Linked DNA regions of Danio rerio. The protein of the gene in region 3 binds, or shares a complex with, the protein of the main gene of each other region. Links are inferred from orthologs where the notes say so. Each region holds a gene or a part of one and is shown on either strand. Other genes may lie near its edges. The genes, in order: cnot7, cnot11 and cnot9.

The links.
Region 1: cnot9 (region 3) and cnot7 share a complex: the UniProt entries of both Homo sapiens proteins name them as parts of the CCR4-NOT complex. The link is inferred for Danio rerio from reciprocal best matches to the Homo sapiens genes CNOT9 and CNOT7.
Region 2: cnot9 (region 3) and cnot11 share a complex: the UniProt entries of both Homo sapiens proteins name them as parts of the CCR4-NOT complex. The link is inferred for Danio rerio from reciprocal best matches to the Homo sapiens genes CNOT9 and CNOT11.

Annotation. Positions count from the first base shown.
Region 1 is NC_133189.1:34,917,991-34,922,423, forward strand, and holds the start of cnot7 (CCR4-NOT transcription complex subunit 7), read left to right. Parts: upstream 1-1,612; 5' UTR 1,613-1,769; exon of another isoform or gene 1,770-2,037; intron 2,038-2,798; 5' UTR 2,799-2,891; coding exon 2,892-3,008; intron 3,009-4,433. UniProt on the Homo sapiens protein: Has 3'-5' poly(A) exoribonuclease activity for synthetic poly(A) RNA substrate. Its function seems to be partially redundant with that of CNOT8.
Region 2 is NC_133184.1:58,590,241-58,593,891, forward strand, and holds part of cnot11 (CCR4-NOT transcription complex subunit 11), read left to right. Parts: intron 1-42; 5' UTR 43-62; coding exon 63-381; intron 382-698; coding exon 699-863; intron 864-2,080; coding exon 2,081-2,233; intron 2,234-2,309; coding exon 2,310-2,512; intron 2,513-2,722; coding exon 2,723-2,925; intron 2,926-3,651. UniProt on the Homo sapiens protein: Component of the CCR4-NOT complex which is one of the major cellular mRNA deadenylases and is linked to various cellular processes including bulk mRNA degradation, miRNA-mediated repression, translational repression during translational initiation and general transcription regulation.
Region 3 is NC_133197.1:12,453,717-12,458,154, reverse strand, and holds the start of cnot9 (CCR4-NOT transcription complex subunit 9), read left to right. Parts: upstream 1-1,539; 5' UTR 1,540-1,755; coding exon 1,756-1,773; intron 1,774-4,438. UniProt on the Homo sapiens protein: Component of the CCR4-NOT complex which is one of the major cellular mRNA deadenylases and is linked to various cellular processes including bulk mRNA degradation, miRNA-mediated repression, translational repression during translational initiation and general transcription regulation.

The DNA.
Region 1 (4,433 bases), on a different chromosome or scaffold from region 3:
TTAAAAAAAATCATGGTATTGTGATTACTGCTCTTAAAAATGCATTATTTTAAAATGTCTATTTATAATTAGGCTGGCTTGTGTAGCAAGCCAGACTATTGTTATCCTATTTTTCTTCTGAGACTAAAAATTAAACTCTATCTCCTCCTAGAGCTTTCAAGCTATGACCACCAAACTCACACCAGACCTCCAAACTGGTCTGACTCGGGTTGCTATATCTTTTCCGACTGATCCGACTTTCGGTTTTCCGAAAAACGTCCCGGGACCATCGGAAAAATCCCATTGACTTAACATTGGACCAATCTTTGTGACCTCATAACTCTGCATCAGACTGTCCTACAGACTTCTAACTGGGCTCATTTAACTCAGACTACCTAACTGCCAATAACTGATGAGCTTTTAACTTTCTGGCCACACCCTAGCAACCACTTTTGGGACCCTAGAAACTGTCCCATAGACTTCCACTGCAAAAGACTCTCATTGACTTTACATTGGGTCAAACTTTGTGAGCTCATAACTCTACATGAAACTGTTGCACAGACTTTTAACTGGGCTCAATTAACTCAGACTACCAAACTACCAATAACTGATGAGCTTTTAACTTTCTAGCCACACCCCTAACAACCAGATGCGGCACCCTAGCAACGATCCCATAGACTGCTATTATAGAGGTTCAGACTGATATCGTCATGCTGCAGTGAGATAGAGACATGTGTTGCTTTTAACTGTTCATACTGGCAAGAAGCTTTGATACATCAACAGTCTAAACTGTCAATCAACTCCATAGCAACAAAACAGACTAACCTAGCAACGATTTAACAGCAGCTATATCTTAGTATCAGAACATCTTAGAGAAGCTGGGGTTGGCTTGTTTGACTCATGCTAGCAAACCATCTATCTATCTATCTATCTGTCTGTCTATCTATCTATCTATCTATCTATCTATCTATCTATCTATCTATCTATCTATCTATCTATCTATCTATCTATCTATCTATCTATCTATCTATCTATCTATCATCTATCTATCTATCTATCTATCTATCTATCTATCTATCTGTCTGTCTGTCTATCTATCTATCTATCATGCTAATTCATGCTAGAATCATCTTTTCATACTTTTTAAAACTGTTTAAACTAAATAAACTATTATCATCAGGCTTTCACAAGCCTGCCTCAAAGTTTGTCCTCAAACTTTAAGAATCTAGTTACAAATGTTTCTTTACAATAGTATCTTTGGATACCTTTTCTGCTGGAGATACTGTTGTCCTAAAAAAAAAAAAAAAAAAAAAACTGAATACAAATTATTACACATACCTTGTAAGAAACGTTATAGCTGAAAATTTGGGCGGTTTTAAAACGTTGACTTTTCCAAAGTACAGTATACCTTGAGAACGGCTATTGTCCCATGCCAGACAGATAGATAAACAGAGAGATAATATGAATATATAGAAAATAATATGAAAATAAACATTACCTGGGGGTTATGAAGCATAAACATAAAAATAACTAAATTGCACATCAGCGTCTTTATTTACGAACATAAAACTCCCACGAGGAGTTCAAAGGTCAGGCGTCGTGGTGTTGTGACGTCACGCTGTAGCGCTGTGATGTAGTTTCAGAGGTGGCAGCTGGTTGTTGATATCGGTGTTAGCCCAATAAAACTATATAAAAGTAAAGAACAAACGTCCCAGTCCTTTCTAAACAAGGTGATTGTGTATTACTGAAGCAGTATACGCTTTAAGTGTAACTACCTTGTTTGAGGAAAGGTAAGTCCTGACAGAAAAAAAGTCAAGTTTGATCATTCTAACAGGACAAACTTTGTGGCTAAGCTAGTAGCTAACACGCTAGCCTCATACAGAAATAAACATTCACCCCGTTCTCCAAACAGCACAATTCACACGTTACGAGAGGCTACTAACACAGTTCTTTGAAAGCTTAGTGTAGACGTGATTTCAGGACGTTTGCGGTGTTGTTTTTTCAGTTTAGCAGATTTTGTCCTAGCTGCTGCTGATGCTTCTAACCTGTCAACCCACAGTAAGTTATTTGGGCGTTTAATAGCTTAAGGACATGTGAGGCAGAATACAATAGACTATAAAATCACTTTAACGTGCATGAATATTCAAAAGCATTTTTGGCACACAACCAATCTTCCTACATGCTTTGTTTGCATATTGAAGTGAATGCTTCTGTTAGCCTGAAACCATGTTGTCTTATCTGGCACTTGTTGTAATGTTTAGTCACACTACAGTAGTTTTTTTCTGTATGTTGTAAGTATGAATCATTATTCAAATGCTGTCATGAAGCAAAAATAGCAGCCGAGGAGTCATGTTTACAAAGAGGAAGCTTAGAGGAAGAAAATCTCCTTCTGTTTCTAATCTTCATAATGCTGTCTGGAATGAAAAGGTTGTTCATCTAACAAAGTGTGAAATTTGTAAACACATTTATATTGATTTACCCAAGTGAATCATCCAGGCCATGGCAGACGTAGGATCCACAACTAAATTCACAGACAAGTTTAGTTGTTATTTAGAGTTTAGAGCAGAAAATTCAGTTTGTGCATACTTGATTACAAAATTCTCATTTTAATGACAGATGATGGACTTTTGGTGACATATATAAACCATTTAGTACATATTCTTTTATTCATTCTGCATTTTGAACACTGTTTATTTACACTTTCATAAAATGAATTTGCATTTTATTTATTTGTTAGTGTATTGTTTGTGATGTAGTAAGAATAAAGTCATTTGATTTAAATCAGCAGGCTAGTTGTAATGCTTTGTTTGTTTTTGCAGGCAAAAAGAGGGAACAAGCAACTATTATTTCATGAGAATATCCCCTGGGGAGTGTTTTTTTGGTTTTGATGCCGTGCACCTGAGAGTGGAACTATGCCCGCAGCCACTGTGGATCATAGCCAGAGAATATGTGAGGTTTGGGCCTGTAATCTGGAAGAAGAGATGAAGAGGATCCGACAGGTGACCCGAAAGTTCAACTACATTGCAATGGTGAGTTTGAAAGTCATGTTGTTTCATTTAAATGAGTCCAGTTTTATTTTTCACATGTAATCTAGGATTGTTGCTTAGCAAGTTTAAATAGTGCTGTTAATATCCAGAATGTCTACATCAGATGTCACAGAGGTGTAAGGGCATGTGATGATTGTTATACTTGTTGTTTAAATTTCGTTTAAGCTGTATGTCACTCCCTTAGCTTTGCACAAAACAAAAACACATCTTGAGGGCCCAAAAGCATTAAACTAGATAGGCCTGTGTAATTCAAGTGAAGAAAGAAAAAAACAGTTTGTGTTTTTATAATTACACATGCATTCTGGGATCGAATGCTTCAAATAGACAGCCTTTTCAGATCATTTTTAATGCAACAGTTTGCTTTATACCCAGCCTGTAACATCGGTATCTATACATTTTCTATACATTTTTATCAATTTTATTTTGCTATACATGAAAAAGTTAAAAAAAGATAGTTATGGTTGCATAAAATGTGTTTGTATTTTTATAAAAACAAATTCAGAAGCATCACCTGAGCTGTAATGTTTCAGAAAAGACCAGAGGCATTGTCACCTGGCCAAATGTGAAACACTTGTGTTGTCATCAAAGCTTGTGCAGTAACACAAGGGAAAGGGAAGGAGGAAAAAAAACTTGACATCGGTGTAGTCTCAAGTTGGATAAAGTAGCATTCACTGCTTTAAGTCAGATGCTGTTCAGTATGTGCTGCCCTGCAAGTCAAATACACAGTCACATTTAATTTTGAAATAAAGCAGATTGCAGTTTTAATTGCATTGCTTAAATCAGTGGTTCCCAAAGAGGGGGTTGGCACCCCCTGGGGGGGTGGGGAGGGGTCGCAGGACAATGTGGGAGAGCCGCTTGATGATTTCCAAAAATTGATTAAATTTAAATAAACTATTAGAATTACTATATTTTATTCATAATCTACAGAGCACACAAATAGTATTTAATAGTTACATTAAACAACATGGGCAGCATGGTGGCGCAGTGGGTAGCACAATTGCCTCACAGCAAGAAAGCCGCTGGTTCAAGCTCCCACTGGGTCAGTTGGCATTTCTGTGTGGAGTTTGCATGTTCTCTCCGTGTTCGCGTGGGTTTCCTCCGGGTGCTTCGGTTTCCCCCACAAGTCCAAAAACATGTGGTATAGGTGAATTGAGTAAGCTAAATTGCACATAGTGTATGTTTGTGAACCCAGTGATGGGTTGCAGCTGGAAGGGCATCCGCTGTGTAAAACATATGCTGGATAAGTTGGTAGTTCATTCCGCTGTGGCGACCCCAGATTAATAAAGGGACTAAACCAAAAAGAAAATAAATGAATGAATTAAACAGCATACAAATAAAAATCTGCCTTTTTGTTTTGTTTTTTCTTTCATTGGATTGAGACTCCTGGGGTGTTTATGTTCGATTAAC
Region 2 (3,651 bases), on a different chromosome or scaffold from region 3:
GTGTGTGTGTGTGTGTGTGTGTGTGTGTGTGTGTGTGTGTAGGGTTAGAGTGACGCAGCATCATGACTCTGGCCCCTAAGGATCTGTCTAATCTGCTGGGCATCATGTCGGAGGATGCGTGCAGCAGTAGTTTCGAGCAGCTCTCCTCCGCGTTCCACCATTGTTTCGGGAAGGCGGAGCACTTCGGCGTGGGCTCGGTGCTGGTGATGTTGCTGCAGCAGCCGGATCTGTTACCCAGCGCTCCGCAGCGGCTGACGGCGCTCTATCTGCTGTGGGAGATGTACCGCACCGAGCCGCTCGCCGCCAACCCCTTCGCCGCGGTGTTCGCTCATCTGCTGAACCCGTCCAGCGCCGCGGAGGAGCAGGAGAAAACACTGTCAGGTGCTGCTGCTGTTACCTGTTCATTTCTGTTTCACCTTCATCTCAATGCTGCACTTTAGTTATATTAATATACACTCACAGCACAAAAACTACAGGACACTACACACACACACACACACACGCTACAACACACACACACACTACATCACACACATGCAGCATATGTGACTGGATGGTAAATATTTGTTGGATTTTCAGTGAATGCAGTACATTTAGTTTGTTTTTGCGAACACTCCCAGTAAGCGTGTGTGTGTGTGTGTGTGTGTGTGTGTGTGTGTGTGTGTGTGTGTGTGTGTGTGTGTGTTGTGTTGCTGCAGGTTTCCTACCACCCATCACACTGCCAGAGAAGTTCTTCCTGTCTCAGCTGATGCTGGCGCCTCCACGAGAACTCTTCAAGAAGACCCCGAGACAAGTGTCCTGCATGGACATCACTTCCACACCGCAGACTATAGACATCAGCGGCCTGCAGCTCGCACTCGCCGGTAAGAACACACACACACACACACACACACACCATAAGAGCAGAGTGTGAAGGGTTCATCAGCAGAGGAGCAGCACAGTTCTACTTTAATACTGCACACACACTGCATTATGGGGACAGAGTGCTGCAGTGTGTCTGTGAGCGAGACAGCAGGTGTGTGTGATGTTTGAGAGCTGCGGTGTCCAGAGTAATGTCAGCAAACCACCAAGAGGAAGAAGCACATGCAGCAGGAGGAGCTGTGGAGGCCGGAGGAAGCTGCTAACCCTGACTGACCCAGAACACATCAGAGCTCAGCGGCCCGACTCACTGCAGAATGACATGTGCAGCTCCACTCTCCTGTGTCCAGCAGAACTGCTGCTCTGGAGCTCCACTGGGTCAGTATACATGACCCAAACCTCTGCTCACGCCGAACGCCGGCTTCAGTGGAGGAGCGGTGGGGATCTGGAGCTGTGGACGGTGTGGAGCGTGTGCTGATCTCTGATGATCCAGCTTCACTGTGTTTCCCACATGCGGGAGAGTTACGGTGTGGAGAAGCCCCACAGGAGCGGCCCACCCAGACTGCTGATGCCCAGAGTCAAGCATGCGGGGTCACTGATGGTCTGGGCTCAATATCATAATGTTCCCTAGACAGGTGCTAGATGGGCACTGGGTCGCTGCCAAGGAATACCCAACTATTCTGGAGGAGCATGTGACCCAATGGGTCAATCACTGTATCCTGAAGGTGTTGTTGTGTTAGGATGATGATGCAGCGACACACACAGCAGGACTGGAGACAGAGCGGTCTGATGAACATGACAGTGAAGCTGAACATCTCCCATGGCCTGCACAGTACCCAGAGCTAAACATTATTGAGCAGTTTGGGCTGTTTTGGGGGAGTGGGTCAGGAGAGGTTTTCCTCCAGCAGCATCAGCAGTGACCTGAACACTATTCTGAAGAAGAACCGCTCACAACCCCTCTGACCACTGTGCAGGACTCCTGTCTGACATTCCCAGCTGATGTTGGACTGAGGAGGAGGAGCTGCACCCGCTGATGTACAATTAATATAATATAGCACAAACATTCTCACATTCGTTTAGAATAAATCCAGTACAGCAGTGGTGTTATTGCAGATGTGTTTGAGGTGTTCAGTATATCTGTGCTCTACAGCAGTGTCTCCCTCTTCAGGACTGTCCAGTGCTCCTGATCCTCCAGTAATCTCTCCTCTTCTGTTCTCCGCAGAGCGTCAGTCAGAGTTGCCCACTCAGAGTAAAGCCAGTTTTCCCAGCCTGCTCAGCGACCCGGATCCAGACTCCTCCAACTCTGGCTTCGACAGCTCCGTGGCCAATCAGATCACAGAGTCTCTAGTGACAGGACCACGCCCTCCTCTGGAGAGTAAGATGATGATGATGATGATGAAGGTGATGTGTGTATTCTCCATCTGCTGATGGTGTGTGTGTTCCTCCATCAGGTCACTTCCGGCCTGAGTTCATCCGCCCCACTCCGCCGCTGCTGGTGTGTGAGGACGAGCTGTGCTGGCTGAACCCCTGTGAGCCGGAGCACCGTGTGCAGTGGGACCGCTCTATGTGTGTGCGCAACGGCACTGGTGTGGAGATCAAACGCATCATGGCCAAAGCCTTTAAGAGTCCACTGTCAGCGGCGCAGCAGACACAGGTACACACTACACACACACACCTCTACACTACACACACCTGTACACTGCACACTACACACATGTGATTACAGCAGTCTGTCTACCAATAAACGGATTTAAACTGTTCCAAGAGGTTATTCTGTATATAAAGTGGCGCTACACACCTGACCACTACATATACACACCTGTCCAGTCCATCTGAGCATGTGTGTGTGTGTGTGTGTCGTCAGCTGCTGGGCGAGCTGGAGAAGGACCTGAAGCTGGTGTACCACATCGGCCTGACCCCCGCCAAACTGCCGGACCTGGTGGAGAACAACCCTCTGGTGGCCATCGAGATGCTGCTGAAGCTGATGTCCTCCAGCCAGATCACAGAGTACTTCTCTGTGCTGGTCAACATGGACATGTCCCTGCACTCCATGGAGGTGGTCAACAGGTATGTGTGTGTGTTTGTGTAAGCTGATGTCCTCCAGCTGGATCACGGAGTGCTTGTACCTGCACAGTCTGCTGTTTAGTTTAGTGTTGAGGTCGAGTCCACCTTTGTCTAGTCCAGGTCAAGACCAAGTCCTTAACCAGTCGAGGCCAAGTCCGAGTCCTAAAGGGGCTGAGTAGGATTTAAGTCCGTCCGAGTCCTTAACATGCGAGTGCGAGTTGAGTCCAGAGAGTCATAAAATTCATTCATTCATTTTCCTTCAGCATTAGTCACTCATTTATCAGAGGTCACCACAGCATAATGAACCGCCAACTATTCCAGCATATGTTTAACACAGCAGATGCTCTTCCAGCTGCAACCCATCACTGGGAAACACCCATACACAAACACTCATATGCTACGGCCAGTGTAGTTGATCAGTTCCCCTGTAGCGCATGTGTTTGGACTGTGGGGGAAACCGGAGCACCCGAAGGAAACCCACACCAACACGGGGAGAACATGCAAACTCCACACAGACCCAGCCGAGACTCGAAACAGCAACCTTCTTGCTGTGAGGCCACAGTGATAAACACTGAGCCACCATGACGCTTAAGTCATAAAATTTAAAATAATAATGATGATAATAATAATAAGTCAAATATAATAAAAAAATAACAGTTGTTTAAACTGAATCTTTTGATCTATTTTTACAAAATGCCTTGTAATTTATTTTGTCAACTTGCTGCTAGT
Region 3 (4,438 bases):
GAGAAAATCTGACCTGCACCTGAAACAAGTTTACTATAAGCATAAAACATGCTCTAACCAGAATTTGTCCCATACATGAGCTCATCTGTCCTATTTTGACTGCTGCCATCATAAATATTGAAAATAATCCATCAAAAAAGAAAAAGAAAAAAAAAGGCTTTAAGACCAAGTGAAATCCTCTGTCGGCTGCTGCTTCGGTGGGACTATAATCTGATGTAAGAGAAGTCTTCTTTCACTACTGTATTGCTTTTAAACAGAGAAAACATTTACAGGTTACTTTTATTCTAAATCTGGGACCTTATTTCTGAAATAAAAATGAGCATTAAAAAGATGTGAAGCATCAGAAGCAGACCATATTAAATTAATTAGAATATATGTTGGCTATTGTTCATATCTAGGATTTTTCAATTGTATTTTTTTTTACCAAAGAGACTAGAACAATTCTGCAAAATTCATTATAATTGTTTTATTATTATTATTATTATTAAATTTTAACATTTTTTGGCCAAATTGTGACTAAGGGCAGTTGCGTGTGCTGGCCAGTTTGTTTTTTGTCTAATAAATGTTAGTGGGCAACAATTATTTTACTTCAAAACTTTGACAGATTGCTATTTTTTCTTAATGATACTGTATATTATTTAATAAATTTGTATTTTAAAAATTAGTCTTGTTTTATTTTTTTAATGCAATTTTTAAGACATATTTTTAGTACATCAAAAAGTGCGGTTTTGATGACATCTGACTAGTTAATCCAGCAAAAAAATCACTAAAATGCAGTTCAATTCAATTCAATTCAGCTTTATTTGTATAGCGCTTTTACAATGTAGATTGTGTCAAAGCAGCTTCACATAAATGGTCATAGTAACTGGAACAGTGTGGTTCAGGTTTTAGTGTTTAAGTTCAGTTCAGTTCAGTTTAGCTCAGTTCAGTGTGATTTAATCATTACTGAGAGTTCAAACACTGAAGAGCCGATTCATTGATGCGTAGCTCTACCAATCCTGAACCATGCGAGGCAGTGGCGACAGCGGAGAGGGAAAAAAAACTTCACCAGTACTTGCAGTATTCAAATCTCAAAGTTAAATAGAAACTGAGGCGTATAAGTGAAAAAAGTTCCACAAGGTCAAAAAGAACCACCCCTTTCACCAGGCTGGCTACGGGCATGCAGTGATGGGTTGCAGCTAGAAGGGCATCCCCTGCGTAAAACATAAACTGGATTAGTTGGCAGTTCATTCCGCTGTGGCGACACCAGATTAAAAAAGGGACTAAGCCAAAAAGAAAATGGATGAAAAATGAATAATTGATTATTATTGTTGTGATTATTATTATTATTATTATTATTATTATTATTATATGAAAATATCAATACCCTATTGTTATCATTAATCACATAATAATCATTATAACGTAATAATTTTAATACCATTATGATGAACAGCATATTTATAATAACTATAATCAATGAATTGTTATTTTTTAGTAGAAGTGAACAATGGAGTTTAAAATAAGCACTTTAAGTATAGTAGGCTACTACTCAAGAGTCGGCATGGGGGCAGCAATGAACACAGATGATCCTTACCCGCCAACAACTCAGAGAAAGAAAAAGAAGAAGAGGAGCGTAGAAGAAGAGGCAGCTGCGGAAGGCGGTTGTTTTTTTCCCCTTACCTCATTTGCTAATGTAAACCTGGTTTATTTCTCGTTGTTTTGAAAACCACTGTTCACTTTTATTCTGGAGAGCACAGTAAAGCGGTCGCGAGGATGTTGGCGACAGGAGCGGTGAGTTTCTGGACGCTTTTCGGGGTTTTACTCTTGTTTGTGCAGGGGCCTGGTAGAGCTAACGGCTAAAGCTAATTCAACCAGTTACTATGGTGATCTGTATTAAAGCTCGTTTTCGTCTTTATTTTAGACTTTTCTTTAAACATAATGTAGTGTAAGTACTTATAGTTATTAGAGAGTCATATGTGAGAAATTTATGCGAGCCTGACGTTTTCTACGTGTGCTTTTTGTAAACATAATATTAGCATAGTTGTTAAGTTAGTGTTTTATTTTTTTCATTTAAAGAACAGCATATTACATTTTACATCAAAAATATAAATATCAAACGAGGACGTATAAACAAAAAACAAGTATCCAAAATGTACATATGTAATGTTCGCAATTAAATTAACACGTTTGAGAGTCGCTGGTGCTGGTAATATATAAACATATTTCAGTCAACAAAGCCGTAAAATTAGGCTTCTTATGAGAAAAATTGCATTTCTGAATGTAAAATATAGATGACAATATAAATCGCGTTATAATTTAATAATAATAACAATATTATAATTTAAGTCAGTTAAATGCAGGGTTCATACGGTCATTGAAAACCTGGAAAAGTCATGGAAATTTGACATGGCATTTTCCAGGCCTGGAAAAACGGAAAAACCAACAAAGTTTTAGAAAAAAATCATGGAAATTAGTTTAACAGGTATCTGTATACTTAAATATAGATCAGTTGTCTTTTTTACTTCTCAGAGCTCAACAATAAGGACTGCCCGATGGCCCGGGGCCAGTGTGTGAGATGCTTGGGACAGTAGACAGGATCATTTATGCTGCCTTGTCACTAGTTTCATTTGCCTGTGACTATTTGTCAATTGCGTGCAAAATACAGTCTTAGAATTGAGAAAGAGTTTGTGTTTTCAAGCCTTCAAATGCTACCTTTCGGTTTTTCTTATCTGATTGGATGTTGTGAGCACATTATTTTTATCCGTATCAACCAGTACAGCGTAGAGACTCCAACATGGCGGTAACATCAAATGATTATGCTAAAGGAAGACATGTGTTTTTAATGTCTTGGAAGCAGACATTTACGAGGGTACACCACGACTAAAACAATTAAGTGATGTTTTGTACAGTTTGCCGTCAGTTCGGCAGGTCTTTAGCCATCCTTTGTTTCAGAACACTTAGAATTTTGCTCATTATACATTTATTAACTATTAATTAACTAGTAGTTTATTAACATTAATTTTTTTTTTAATATTTAAATTCTAGATTTACAAACATTTTGACATGTTTTTCTTTTTAATTTGTGGCTAAGAAATAGCTATTAACTTTTTTTGGTGGGGCCAGTTAAAATATTGGCAGGGCAAGTAAAAATCTGAACAGCTGGTCCGATTGGGCCAGTAGAAAAAATTCTTAGCGTTGAGCCCTACTTCTTTTCTGTCCATGGTCGAACACATGCTCTCACATTATTAGTAGTGTGTGAACATTGTCTAAATAAATTTTAAATGGATATAAAGATTAATTTATTCATTCATTCATTTTCTTTTTGCTTAGTCCCTTTATTAATCTGTGGTCGCCACAGCGGAGTGAACCATCAACTTATCCAGCATGTTTTTACATAGCGGATGCCCTTCCAGGTGCAGCCCATCACTGGGAAACATCCATACACACTCGTTCACACACATACACTACGGACAATTTAACTTACCCTATTCACCTATACCACATGTCGTTGGACTGTGGGGAAAACCGGAGCACGGTGATACCCACTGTGCCACTGTGCAGCCTATAAAGATTCATTTAAACCTAATAGATTGTTTTATGATATTCCATTATAACCTTTAACATGCATAGTTTTTCTTGTTATTTACCACGTATATGGAGACAGTACATGTAACATTAGGTCATTAAAACTTACTTGAAAATCATTGAAATGAAGGACGAACCCTGTAAATAGAATTATTTTCCTCATGGTCATTAGTAAATATAGTTATGAGTTATAGTTATGTGTGACTATTATTAATATTAATTTTGTCACCTGGTAATATAGTAACAACTTGTGAGAAAAAAAATTACACCATACATTTTGACATTTGAGTCATTAGTAGGCATGGGCTGGTATAAGATTCTGACAGTATGATATAACCTTGGATAAAAATAGCATAGTTTTGTGGTATCATTACTGCGCTAAAATAAGTGCTTTTTACATATCTGGGTAAAACAAAACAAAAAAACTTTCTCCATGCAATATATTATGTTTTATGAACTATGTCAGGGTAAATAGTAAAAATAAATCATTGACTTCTGCTCTCTTTATTAGTTTCAAAAACACAGATTTCTTTACAACACACAAAAAAAAAATACACTGTAAACCCTTACATATACCTTATAAACGATATAACAGAACATTTTAGCGGTTTTAAAGCCTTGTCTATTCCAAACTTTTAAATCGTCCCATGCCTAGACGTTAGTAGTCAAAGTAATGACTCAATGAAGGAAAGAAAAACCTATTTGTGACTTGTATAAGTGTATTTTGGTTGTGATGCTTATTTTAATAGAATGTGTCATTTTAAATTATATTAGGTAACATTTTTATTCAGGAAATATTTTTGTCTTTAAAGGGGATTTTAAAATATTTATCAGAGTGTAAACAGAATATAAGAATATAAACAGATATTAG